Drosophila melanogaster: one gene and its partner. The protein of the gene in region 2 purifies or fractionates together with the protein of the main gene of each other region. This does not show direct contact. Each region holds a gene or a part of one and is shown on either strand. Other genes may lie near its edges.

What was found.
Region 1: the proteins of EndoB (region 2) and Paip2 purify together in Drosophila melanogaster (affinity purification with mass spectrometry, with the first as the bait; one large-scale study listed by BioGRID). This does not show direct contact.

The regions. Positions count from the first base shown.
Region 1 is NT_033777.3:12,979,397-12,986,251, forward strand, and holds Paip2 (polyA-binding protein interacting protein 2), read left to right. Parts: upstream 1-1,649; 5' UTR 1,650-1,991; intron 1,992-4,338; 5' UTR 4,339-4,343; coding exon 4,344-4,487; intron 4,488-4,550; coding exon 4,551-4,651; intron 4,652-4,714; coding exon 4,715-4,844; 3' UTR 4,845-6,092; downstream 6,093-6,855. Other genes in the region: CG7091 (uncharacterized protein), read left to right, coding at 1-81, 140-422, 559-800, 857-1,021; CG31342 (uncharacterized protein), read left to right, coding at 6,828-6,855.
Region 2 is NT_033778.4:19,306,926-19,312,722, forward strand, and holds EndoB (endophilin B), read right to left. Parts: upstream 3,741-5,797; 5' UTR 3,628-3,740; coding exon 3,550-3,627; intron 3,389-3,549; coding exon 2,891-3,388; intron 2,774-2,890; coding exon 2,738-2,773; intron 2,659-2,737; coding exon 2,468-2,658; intron 2,307-2,467; coding exon of another isoform or gene 2,102-2,306; intron 1,889-2,101; coding exon 1,648-1,888; intron 1,591-1,647; coding exon 1,462-1,590; 3' UTR 522-1,461; downstream 1-521. Other genes in the region: Acadvl (Acyl-CoA dehydrogenase very long chain), read left to right, coding at 1-182; Rgk1 (Rad, Gem/Kir family member 1), read right to left, coding at 5,672-5,789.

The DNA of each region.
Region 1 (6,855 bases), on a different chromosome or scaffold from region 2:
GAGCAACATCCAAGGATATCGAATGAGGAGGTGGATTACCTGAGGCAGGGCAAGAGTCAATTGGGACAGCAGCGGCAGCCAGTGAGTAGTTCCTTGTACTTTTAACTTTAAAATTATAAATTAATTAGCTTCTTTTTAGGTGGTAACCATTCCCTGGAAGAGCCTGCTCGCCGCGCCGCCCGTCTACGCCTTCATCCTGACCCACATGTTCCACACCTACACCTTCCTGGTGATTGTGCAACTGATGCCGCGATTTATGCGCGAGGCCATGGAGTTCGATCTCCGCGAGGTGGGCTTCCTCTCGGCGGCGCCGTATCTGGGCGGGATCTGCTCGAAGGTGATGTGCATCCTGGGTGGCAGCTATGTGGAACGACGCGTGGGTCCTGACCAGAATTGTGTGCGAAGAATGCTGTACGGGATCTGTAAGGCATACCGATAATCGGAGTGCCACAGACATCTATAAAGAACACCTTCCCTTAGTGGATTCCTATATAGATTTCCGTAGCATCTCCAGAAACATCACCAATCTCTCTTTTATATCCCATTTTATAATACCAGGCAGCATCCTGACCACTTCTTTGATTGGGGTCATCATCCTGGCTAATTGTGATGACAAAATACTAGTACTTGTGATGTTTGCCTTCATGATGGCCACTACGGATATGGGTTTCAGTGGCTACTGGCCCACGCTGCTCTACTTTGCGCCCTCCTTCGCGGGATTGCTATCGGGATTGGCCAATGGAATGGCCCATCTTTCCGGATTCTTAGCTCCCCATCTTGTGGCCGCTCTGGTCCACACTGTAAGTTTAAATACAAGTAGTTTATGATTAAACTGATTTATTTATGTACCTCGCAGGGCAGCAAGGATGAGTGGAATGTGGTGTTGATGACGCTGATTGTCTTTAATACGATGGCCATGTTGGTATTTGCATTTTGCAGCAGTACGAACCTACAACCTTGGGATCCTCGTAGCAGAATGGAGAAAACTGCATCACCAAGTGCTCAGGAATCAAATAGTTAGCACTTATTTGTTTAAATGTTTTAACTTTTTTGTACTTTCGAAGCATTTTATTTGTTTACTATAAATGTAGAGTTAATTGTGTTAAAATAAAAACAAAATAAATGTAAATATACAATATACATATCAATTTAGTTTAAAATGATAATTGAACTTTCTTCAACGCAATCTTCAAATAAAATTTTTAAAAACCGCGCCTAGCACATAGTATCTTTCAATCTTATCGATAGTTTTACCGTTGTATAAAGCAAGCTGACAAATGTTTCACAACGACCAGTTTTCTACATTTCAAGTACAAAATTACACAAATATTCAATAATTCAAAAATATGTGTGAAAGCAGACATCTATTGGCAGTCAATGTACTAAATGCTCATATTCTTTACACGCCAATCGATAGCTGTTTGATTTGACGCATAGATTTGGTTTGAGTCCCGGCTGAGAACTGTAAGACGAAGAAATAGCTCATTTACCTACTTTAATGGTGCTAAATCGCATATATCACAATGCTTTAGGAAAAGTATTAATATTTCTAGAAAGCGTATGCTATAACTCTTTGTGCTATACTATATATAGGTGGAAAGACATCGATAGTCGCAGGGGAGTATCGATGCATCGATAGTGCCATCGATGTTTCTCCACCTTGCTTTATTAATCATTTCAATTTTTTTTCAATTCGGTTGCTTGACGTTCACTGACGTGATTCCGCACACAGCACATAGTCGAATACGTTTCGCAATAGAAATATCAAAATTCTCCGTGTGGACTCAATCTGGATTGGATGCAACACTAAATTACCAGTGTTTTCCTCGATTTTCTAGCGACGCAAAATTCTCAGTACAACCCAAAAAAAAAACGGAGAGTCTCTTCAACAACAAAATCAAGCATCATCGATAAAAACAACAAGTCTCCCGGAGGAAGTGGCTCCAAAATATCCAGTGCAACAGCGGACGAACTTCTCGGCAGGATTGAGAGTGAGTAGATCGGATTAAACAAATTAAATAATCCCAAACATTGTACATATGTATATACATTTATTTGTGCGCGGGGAAAGGCGGAAGTCAGAGAACTTGGCTTCCTGGTTTTTCATTTACCTTTTGGCGCTTCCGCCAAAACACTTAAACGTTCACTTAAAACCGCTTCTGGACAAATCAATAAAGGCCAAGTGTCGGATCGGACATTACCTTGGTGTTCCCTACTTACACTTGAAAAAATTTCGTTTAACATGGTAATAAAATTAATCAAGGCTATTTATTGCACATCACAAAGAAAGTTTATGACTTTATCAGTTAATTAACTACAATACAAGGGTATAAAAGTCAATTGCTTTTCAAAATGTCTCAATATAATAAAATTTAAAATCATTTCATATGCCTAACATATACATATACATATATCATCTTTCAAACCTACTAGTAGAAATTCGAATTTATAATTACCAAGTAAAGTGATTTATTGCCTTGAGTGTACTTCAAATAAAACATTAAATGCTAGAAGTCTACTTTTTTTCTTCCTGTGTACGTGTGCGTGGGCCAAGCTAGACTCCAAGTACACGAACCCCAAGAATATTAATGTTTAAACTTTAAACACTTGTTACCTTGAATGAAACAGTGCGCTGTATGTATTATCATTGCCGCTGCTGTTGTTGCTCTTTTTTTTGGGTTGAGGGAGGTTCATTCAATCGGGCACACCAACACCACTGCACTTGAGAGCCCATTTGTGTGTGTGTTTGTTGTTGCCTCCTTTGTGTTTTCTGCATATTCACTTTACATACTAAATGTATGCACGAATTTCGTCAAGTCCGCCGTGCAAATACATTTTAATTTTCGCAATTTCATTTAAAATATGGACGCTTAACTTAACATCTACTTGCAATTCGATGTGCTTCACTCGTGTGCGTGTGTGTGGCAGCACGTACACCAGTAAAGGGCCAGAGTTGCCATCCTAACTTCTTTTTTCCAAGCACTTTGTCTTGCTGATAAAAGCAGCTGATTTTTATAAATAAATAAGTAAAAGTTGGAAGACGCAAAAAATTCAATTTATTGATAGTGCGATTTGACCTACCAAAGGCAATAAAAATCTAGAATGGAGAGTAATCATTATCTTGTGTGGAATAAACATTCACGCAAAACTTGCCTATGTATGGAGAACTGTAAACAAATATTCGCACAGCCGCGGGTAACGAACTAGGCCCTCAATAAAAATAAATAACAAAATATATTATTTTCGATACAAACAATTCATAAAAAATGTCAAACATTTGCTCTTAAACTGACGTGCAATTATTAGTGCGCAAATATTGTAAGCAGAGTAAAAAAGAATGAAATTACGTGATTAAAATATTAATGTCCTAAAACTGTATTATAAAAATATGTACACAATCGAACGTTACAGGCACGTTCAACATGATAGCTAAGCCCACAAACTCCTCCGATGACAATCATCGCCTTTGGCTTATTGCGTTTTGCATAAATACCGCTCTTGACTTTCGTGTTATTTCACACGTTTGCTTGTTTGTTTTTAGCTGATAGCGGCATTTATATACGCCATAAAATGTTTAGCGGGGCTAGAAGTGATACGAGTTGTGAGCCTATACATTTCTAATCGGATGTAGTACTGAATTATAGACTACATTATATGTATATAGCATACAAGTATGTCCACTTATTTGGGGCTCTTTTCGCTTTTGCACCAAAAGCTGAGTCACTTTGTTTTCAAATTTTTGTGTGCCGCGGCCACAACGCAAAAAATAGACATCACTAAACAAAAAAACGTTGCGCAAAAAGAAAAGAGAAAATGTTCACTTATTTATATAAACAAATAGGTATTAGTGTTAGCCACTACACCTGTATAGGTGCGATTTTTGTTTTGTTTATCTCGTGGTAATGACGGAAAACCGGTTTCGTAGAACGAAAACACAACTGCTCCGGCTTCTTGCCGGTTAAATACGATTTGTTTAAATACAGAAGAGCCTGCCTAAGTCAAACGAAGCTAAAAAAAAATTCATTCAATTCATTCAGTAGCACAGCAGAAGAATTTGTATTTTCAATATTCGTTGGAGTAGGCTACAAGAAATATGTATGTTTGAGAACCTCAGAAAAACTCTGAAACTCCTGAGATTAAGTTGTAATTAAGCAATTTATAAATCAATCGAATGCCTTATATATAGACATATTTCCGTGGCACCTCAGATTCAAATGTTTAAATTGTATTTATTAATATAATATATTTCTCATAGTTTGAGCTTAATCGTTGAAATATTAAGAAATATGAGACCAACTGTTGATAAGTTCGCTTTTAGTAATCCAAAATCCCTTACAGCCAATATGTTGTTAAAAGTGCCATCTGTGGACTGGACGGATCAAATAATTTACGTAGTGGACGACGACGAGTCGCTGTCAGACATCGACGATGAGCCAGATTTTTCCGAATACATGTGGATGGAGAACGAGGAGGAGTTCGACAAGAACGTAAGATTAAATCTCCTATTTATGATTAACGAATTAACTAATACATTTGCTATCTGATAATAGGAACTGCAACGGCTGGAGGAGGAAGAGATTATGCAGGAGTGTTTTGAAGCCATGATAGAAGACGAGCTGGAGGAGCAGATCAACGAATGGGAGAAGGCCAAGTGAGTAGTGGCTATCCGGTTAACATTGCTGAATTAAAGCTAATTTGCAATCGCTTATTTCAGGACGGACGAGCAGAACACGGCACTTTCCGCACTACCCAAGAGCCAGTGTGATGTTGAAAAGTCTGTTCTGAATCCGATGGCTGATGAGTTTGTTCCGCGTTGTCATGTTATAGATTTCCCTGCCTCATAAAGCCAGCCCATATCTCCTGCCCGCCACAGAATCACAAACTACCCCGAACCCGTACCACGTGGACCTCATACGCGAAAAACCTTAGATAAACTGAAGACCCATTGCTAAGACTAGACTAACAGATTCCGCTAATGAGATTGATATTGATATTCTGACCAAGTTGAGCCAGATGGAGCATTGGGAGCAGTGGCTCATGAATATCTTATTTCTAGATACCAAAATGCTGGAAAAGAAAACTAAATATACCAACAAACTCCAAATGCTGGCGACCGAAATGCAAACGAATCATATTAAAAAAAAAACCTTATAAAAAACAACTGAACCACTGCAAAAATACAAAAAATATGTTTAAAAGAAAAACCAACAAAGAAACAAAAACACAACTTAAACTAAGAACAGACAAATAACAAAATAACAACTATGCCACGTACATTAGAGTACATTGAAATTAGAGTTAAAACCGAATTGTTTGCCGTGAAATTCGGAGCCCCAGAAATTCCGAACCTAAAATGTTATCGAGAAACGCAGACGCAGGCGCTTGCTGAAGCTAGTGAAAACTTTGGTATTAACGTACAAAACGAAAACAAATGACTTTTTACAAGCAACTAAATCTAAACTACAACTAAACTATGCCAATTTCCAGCTAAAGCAACTGTAAGCAACAAACAAGACTCGATTGTGTTAGAAACAAACCAAGAATTTGTAGCCGTCATGTCGTTAAATTGAAATTCTATTCAAAGACTTTAATCGTAGTTTAAATTGTAATTAATTTAACGTCCCGCCCACTGTCTACACTCGATTTAAGTTGATCATCTTTTTTTAATCTTTCACCATTGTTAACTCGTTGTACGTTCTATGCCCAAGTAACAAGAAGCGCTTGTTAACCTTCCCTACTGACTCGCAATATTTGTAATTTACCAATATAATCTAGTGAACTAAACGAATCGATATACTAATGTTTAACGCCTCTTTATACAAACATCATGCATAAATATGTATATCTAGTGTTAATGGAGGAGACAACAGACAACAACAACGCTGCAATAACAAGTAGTTTGTAATTTTAAGTATAAAATTCGTTTGATGCAAATGCACAAAGCCCTCATCGATTTGTTAATATCGTTAAAATTCGTTTCGGCATGTAGACAAAGATGAATTTCTATTTTTTCAATCAACTTAGATTTAGTGACTTAAGACAGCATTATAAGATCTACTACATTACTTACGTTACGTGTGATATAAAGATACAAAAAAACAAAGCAAAAAAAATATCAAAAATGATTTTAAAAATCTCAATAAAAAGAAGTATTATTATGGCATAAAAACTTGGTAGTTTTATTTTTTTTATATTTTTTTTCTTGCATAGATACTATGGAAAGTGAATCAGAAAGATAATCGAATTTACTGATCTTCATTTATTTTATTAGCATCTGAATTATTATATCATATTGGAAGAGCATGAAAATAATAAGATCTCTAAACATTAAAAATATTCTTTATCAAAATTTCATTGCACGCTTAATCATAACTTTTTACATACTTTTCATACGAATCTATTACTTTACACGAATAAATAAAGAATATATAGTATACGTAAGTTGTTGCGGAAAGGTTTTTGTAATTAAGCAATATAAAAGAAAAACATCCTAAAATCGGATAAATAATAAACAATGATTTGTAGTAATTGAAATTTGATAAAGTTTTTATTGCTTATAAAATGTTTTCAATTTCAAGAATACCGCTAATGCACTGCACTTTCGATAAGTTTTGTGTGGAACAATACCGATACCCATATCCAAATACCGATACCAAAAATGGCGTCGTGATTTCCCAGTTGATTTTCCCAGAAAATGCAGCATATTTCGTGGCCCAATAACGCATCAAGTGAAATGTGGGCTTAATTAGCGGAGAGCAACGAGCCCAAGGCATGCAAAAGAAGCCCATCCCAGTCAGGAAACCACACCGTAGTTTTGGGAAGCGGTCATGGCAGCGGCGGCGACGGCAGCACCTG
Region 2 (5,797 bases):
CACAACACGAGCTCAACATGACCAAGGCACTCACTATTCAGGCATCTGATCGAGTGATTAAGAATCTACAGGCTGCCACATCCAGTCATCATAGGTCTCTCAATGAGAAGATTTCCACCATCGCCAAGACCACTTTGGAAAATGGCGGTGTGACTACGACTGGAATCTTGGATCAAAACTAGACCAATATACTTTTATACGAATTTTAAGCCCTTGATTGTTAACCTAGTATGAATGCCAATAAAGTCTTGTAAATAATAATCGCTGAAGTCTAAAGTTCACCTCGCTCTCACATACGAAATCTCTCTAAAGTGATTATGCACTATCATTGAACAAATGAGTAACAAATACTTGATCATCTATAAATGAACTCAGATAATAGAACTCTTGAAATCAAATCACCTCTATTCCTTTTACGTAGAAAAGCTCACAAATATAATTTAAAGCACTTACCATCTCGATCTGATTTTCAAAGCTGGACGGGCAATCTAATGAAATACAAAATAAATCGAACTTAATTTGGTTTTGTTGTTTTAATTTTGATCATATATTTGTAATTATGTAGTATAATAGTTGGTGTTTAAAAATTCGCTTTTCATATTACAACATTGTTTGTTTGCTGAAAACCTAAAAATCATCGTTGTTTACTTTTTAATTATTGTATTGTACGTTTTCAACAATATTTATCTGTTATTTTTTAGCTATCAAGCGCCTTGGTGTTTCAAAGTTTTGCCTTAAATGTAACAAGCAATATTCTTTTAATTGACTTTCAAAAATTGCACGAAAAATTTGGTAACATAATAATTGCAGCAAATATATTAGATAATAATTGGAAACGCCTTCGCTGAATATATAGATAATAGGATTAACAATTTCATACTTACGTTTATAATTATAGGATATATAGTAAAGCACAGAGAATTTCGCTTGTTAACTAAGATATTGACAAACATAACACATATATAATACTTTTTCGAGTGTAGAGAAGCTTAATAAAACAGCACTTTCTCTTTAGATATGCGATTAGATTTAACAATCATAATGTTTGGAATTGCATAAATTTACATGTATAACTTGACGGTTTTTCAGGCAGCCAGAATGCATATTTGATTACAGCGTGATCTGTGCAACGGAGTAGCGTAGCTCTTTGGGCATGGATCTGGGTTTGATTATTACCGAAGGCTAATCTACAATGCTTTTACTAACCAACACGCTCATGTATGTATATTATGCCTTGTATATATTTATGTATGTATATTCTAATAAATTATTGTACTCTCTTGCTAGTGCCAAATGCCGCTTTGGCCGCATCCTTTAATTGTCCAATTGCCGTTCCCTTCTCTCGATCGTGTCTGCTTTCTTAACATATGAGTATTGCCGTACTTGGAGTATTTTCTTGTTCATTAATTTTGCTTGAGATTATTGAATGATTGATTATTGCTGAACAAATTGCTGGAGGGCTTAGAGGGTGACATCGTGCTCTTCGTCGAGCATTTCAACAAATGCGCGTGGCACCAGACCCTTCAATAGACCCTGTTTTCCGTACATGTAATCCTCGTTTACTGGTGAGCACTCCGTCACGAAGATCACCTGAAAAATGAGTTATATATAAGCATTGCTTAGGATATTATTTGTTCTTTACTTTACCTCATTGGCGCTCAAATTAAGCTCGGTGTGATCCTTGGCGTCGTAGGAGCAAAGGACGCGTGCCCTCTGCATCTGATCCGTGCTGACGTGCATGGGCTGATTAGGCTTGTGGCCGGTGGCAGCCATATTGGCAGAGTGATTGTTGCCAGGACCACGGGCTGCGGCTCCGGACGATATGTTGGACTTGCTGGCACTGGCCTCGTTCACGTCGAGCGGAATGTATGGCGTGGGGCCTCCCAAGCTGATGGAAGATGCAGAGTTTAATGAGTTTTTGATTCGATTTGATAGCGAGCTCTAAATGGAGAGATGAGCTGCTGAAACCTGACTTTACAAAGTGCAACAACTACCGATAACAGCAACCTATCTAGTACGTATGATTTGAAATTAAATGCTAATGTTAACTGGGCATGGAATCCGATTCGATATGAAGATCACAATAACAAGACCCCTAAACTGTGGAGACGGCTGTCGTATCGAATTCTATGTGAAAGTCTTCGAGCAGATTCGTAAGCGACTTGTCCAAATCGGGATCTGGATCGCTATCTAGGGCTATCCCCCCTAATGAATCGGAATCACAAGAATGCATCGACACCGAGCTGGGAGGCCCACAATCAACGTCTTCGCTATTGATACGCAGGCGTGGCTTGGGATGCTGCATTCTGTAAGACCACAAGCAGATATCATAACGCACAGTGAGACCACCAGAAGGGACCACGGGTTTCATCAAGGATGGGACATGGTGTTTTGGTGTGCAAGAAAAGATTCGTTTGGTGCCTACGTGGAAGTCACAGTCATTCTCTATCGATCGCCTACTACTTACTTGGCCAGTTCACGCTGCAGCTGCTCCATGACATCGCCGCACTGCTTGTAGTAGCGCACTTGCGTCTGGATGAAGGCGTGCAAGTGGCGCAAATGAGATGCCTGCGATGTGCTGATCCCGTCCAGCAGCAGCTTGGTAATCTCCGCCTGCCGGTCGAACTCGGCCTGAGCCACCCGCAAGTCCCGTTCCGCCTAGAAAAAATCGCAATTAGAAATTGGCTCATTGATTAGCCATAAATCTAGAGCACGAGCTCGGTCAAGGTTTTGATACCTGTTCCAAGACGGCCTCTGGCGAGATGCCATCTTTCTAAAAATTCCGGGCAGCAGAGGGCAGAAAAAGACCGTGAGTGAAAAAGCCATTACGAAACCCAATCAATCATACCCCCTTGCAATAAGGAAACCCCATCAAATCCCACCCACTTACCGATTGCTGACCCAGCATGCTGCGCGCTTTCTTCACCCTGTTCTTGCAGGCGTCCAGATCCAGGCGCTTGGTCTCCAGGATGCCTCGCTCCTTGCCAATTGTCTTCATTTCGCCGTCTAGGAACTTGCGCAACGGCTGTGTAAAGCAAATGCCCGAGGTGGCTATAAAGTCGTGCTCGCACTGGCCCAGTTTCTGTTCCGCTTGGCCGACCTTGATCAGAGCCTGACCATAGGGTAAATCCTGCCCGAAATCGCCCCCAGCCTCGATCATGTCCAGAGCCAGGTGCTCTAGGTTGCTCAACCTTTTTGGCTTCGACTTTTCAATCTTCTCGAAGATGAAGTCTTCGACCCGGTTCTGAGGATTGGGTATCAGCACCGACTCTGTGTCGCGCACTATCTTCTCCGTCCATGTCTTGGTCACATCAGCCCGCTCGGCGAGATTCTGGAAGTGCAAGTCGTACTCGGTGCGCTCCGTGGTGCCCAGTTTCTCCTCCGTGAGCTGAAAAGGTCATTGAAAACAATGGAGAGCCGTTGAAAAGGGCAAAGAAACAACGAAAGTGCTTGAGATTGGTTTGGGGTACATCTGTCATTTGCCCAACCACCGAAAGTTCACCACCACCCGCTTTTTTTTCAGCCACCCAAATTCATTGATTTGTTCACCTGCACCACTCGTGATATTGTGCTGCCCGCCTCCTTCACCAGGTTCTTCACATTGAAATTCGGCAGATTTATATTCATTTTTGCCGAGAGGTTCGCTAATTAACACTGCCGTTGATAAAGTTTAAATTTAAATTCCGCTACACAGCCCAATTTGTTTGTATTTATTTCCTCTACTTCGTAGTGTGACCCATTGTTTCTCCCAGGAATATACCAAATATACCGAAGAATTCCAACTGGAACAGAGTTCTAATTGGAAATACTACTATTGAGTAAAATGTAAAATTGTATTAATTTTTAATTTATCATAGCTTTTTCTTCTTTATTCTTCATGTAAATGGTGAAACGAAATTTACTTCTATTAAACAAATGCCACGACATCAAAGTAGATAACAATTAAGCTGTCTGTTAGCAAATACATACCTACATACTATGTAAGCTAACAGTTTCGGTAAATCAAGTGTGGTGAGTATCTATATAGTAACGAAAGCTACTATGGCAAGCTTTAAAAAATGTGAACGTTTGTACAATATAACATAGTCAATTAATCATGATATGGATGAAAATCATTTTTCAACATTTAAACTAATTTTTACTTACCCTGCTTGCAGACCGTGCACCTTGTAATTAAACCCCCAAAATAAAACACGATTTGGAAAACATTTAAATTTAACTTTTCACATTTAATACACACTCATTAGACATATATTATCGGAGCGGAAAAATTAAAACATGCATTCAATTGATAACTTTTCACCACTCTGCTGCTTCTTACATTTATGGCTGACTTTCGCTTTTCCTTATACATCATATGACAATCTGTGCAAAATCGAGTGTGCTTTTATCACTTTCCTATATAGTTTTCGGCTCGAATTCATATTCATTCATGTTGAGCGAGAATAATACACAGAGTTCTGGACAAAAATCAATTACAGCTATATGTATATATTTTAACTATCTGTTATAGATCGGATATCTTACACACATGTTAGGATGCACGTATTATTTGGGGGTTTCCTTGAATGTTCCAAATCCGTTAAATTCCATTGTGCTGCAATTGTTGGTGATTATAATACTTAATGGACATTTATAATACATTTAATGGACATCTAGATTGTTATGGAATAGTTGTGTGATTTGCCCTACACTACTAGTGTTCACATTAATAGTTAAAAATCTACAAATTCTCGATCCGACCTCAATATTTGATACAGCAGGTCGCATTGCACACGTTAACAAAATGGTTTTGCTTAGGCTCTTGATTTAGTGGACCATGTGTAAAATCACATATTGCATTAATGTAAAACTACGCTGACATGAACCTAAAAGTAGCCCTTGTGTAAATCTAGTGTTTCTTTCGTATTTCTGCTATCTTTGATTAATTTTGAAATGGTCCCGACTAACTTGAGAAACCTAGGGCGTGCGGATTGTGGGTGCACGATGGGCTTCTTTGTTTAAAAAAATGGTTTTGTTTAACAATTACGGCATAATAATCCCTAGGTCTATTTAAGCAAAATTGCACAATGTGGTTAATATAGTTTCTGGTTTGCAATCGATCAATTATATTATGAACTTTTAATTCAATCAACATTCATGTGAATATTTATGCCATTTTAAAACGAGATTCAATGCCATTACAAATGTATAACTACACGTATATAATTAACAATAAGTTTCATTCGGCGGACAAGCGCCATATCTTCAAAAAATCAGTACAATTGGTATTCATTCGTCCACGAACAAGGGTAAAATATTATTTTCTCATTTTAAAAATTATTGCTTTTTATTTGGATTCCTTTGTATTACGATTTCTTTCAATCAAAAATATAACTAATTTATTCCAGTCGCCGTATTACAACGAGCATTCAAAATTATCCCAACTCATGCTTAGAGGAAAACGAAAGAGCATAAAAAACCAATTACAAATAATAGTTTTATATTTAGACAAACTATATACAATGATTAATGGAGGAAGTGACTAGCGTAAATTAAGACTAAAATTATACACAATATGTACAGTTGGGAATAATACCCCCGGTAGTAGTCGAGTCTGTTTCTTCTTTAACTTAGGATCTTGCATACTCTATAGGAAACTTGTGGGTTACACTTTGGATAATCTCTGTGCTTAGAGTACATGCAGATTCTCGCAGCTCTTCGACTTGGAGTCCCGAGTCCACACGCGGCCCAAAAGTCCCTTGACTTTCAGGCTGGTGGAGGTCCTTGATCCACGGTATTTGCGGGGACTGCAAAA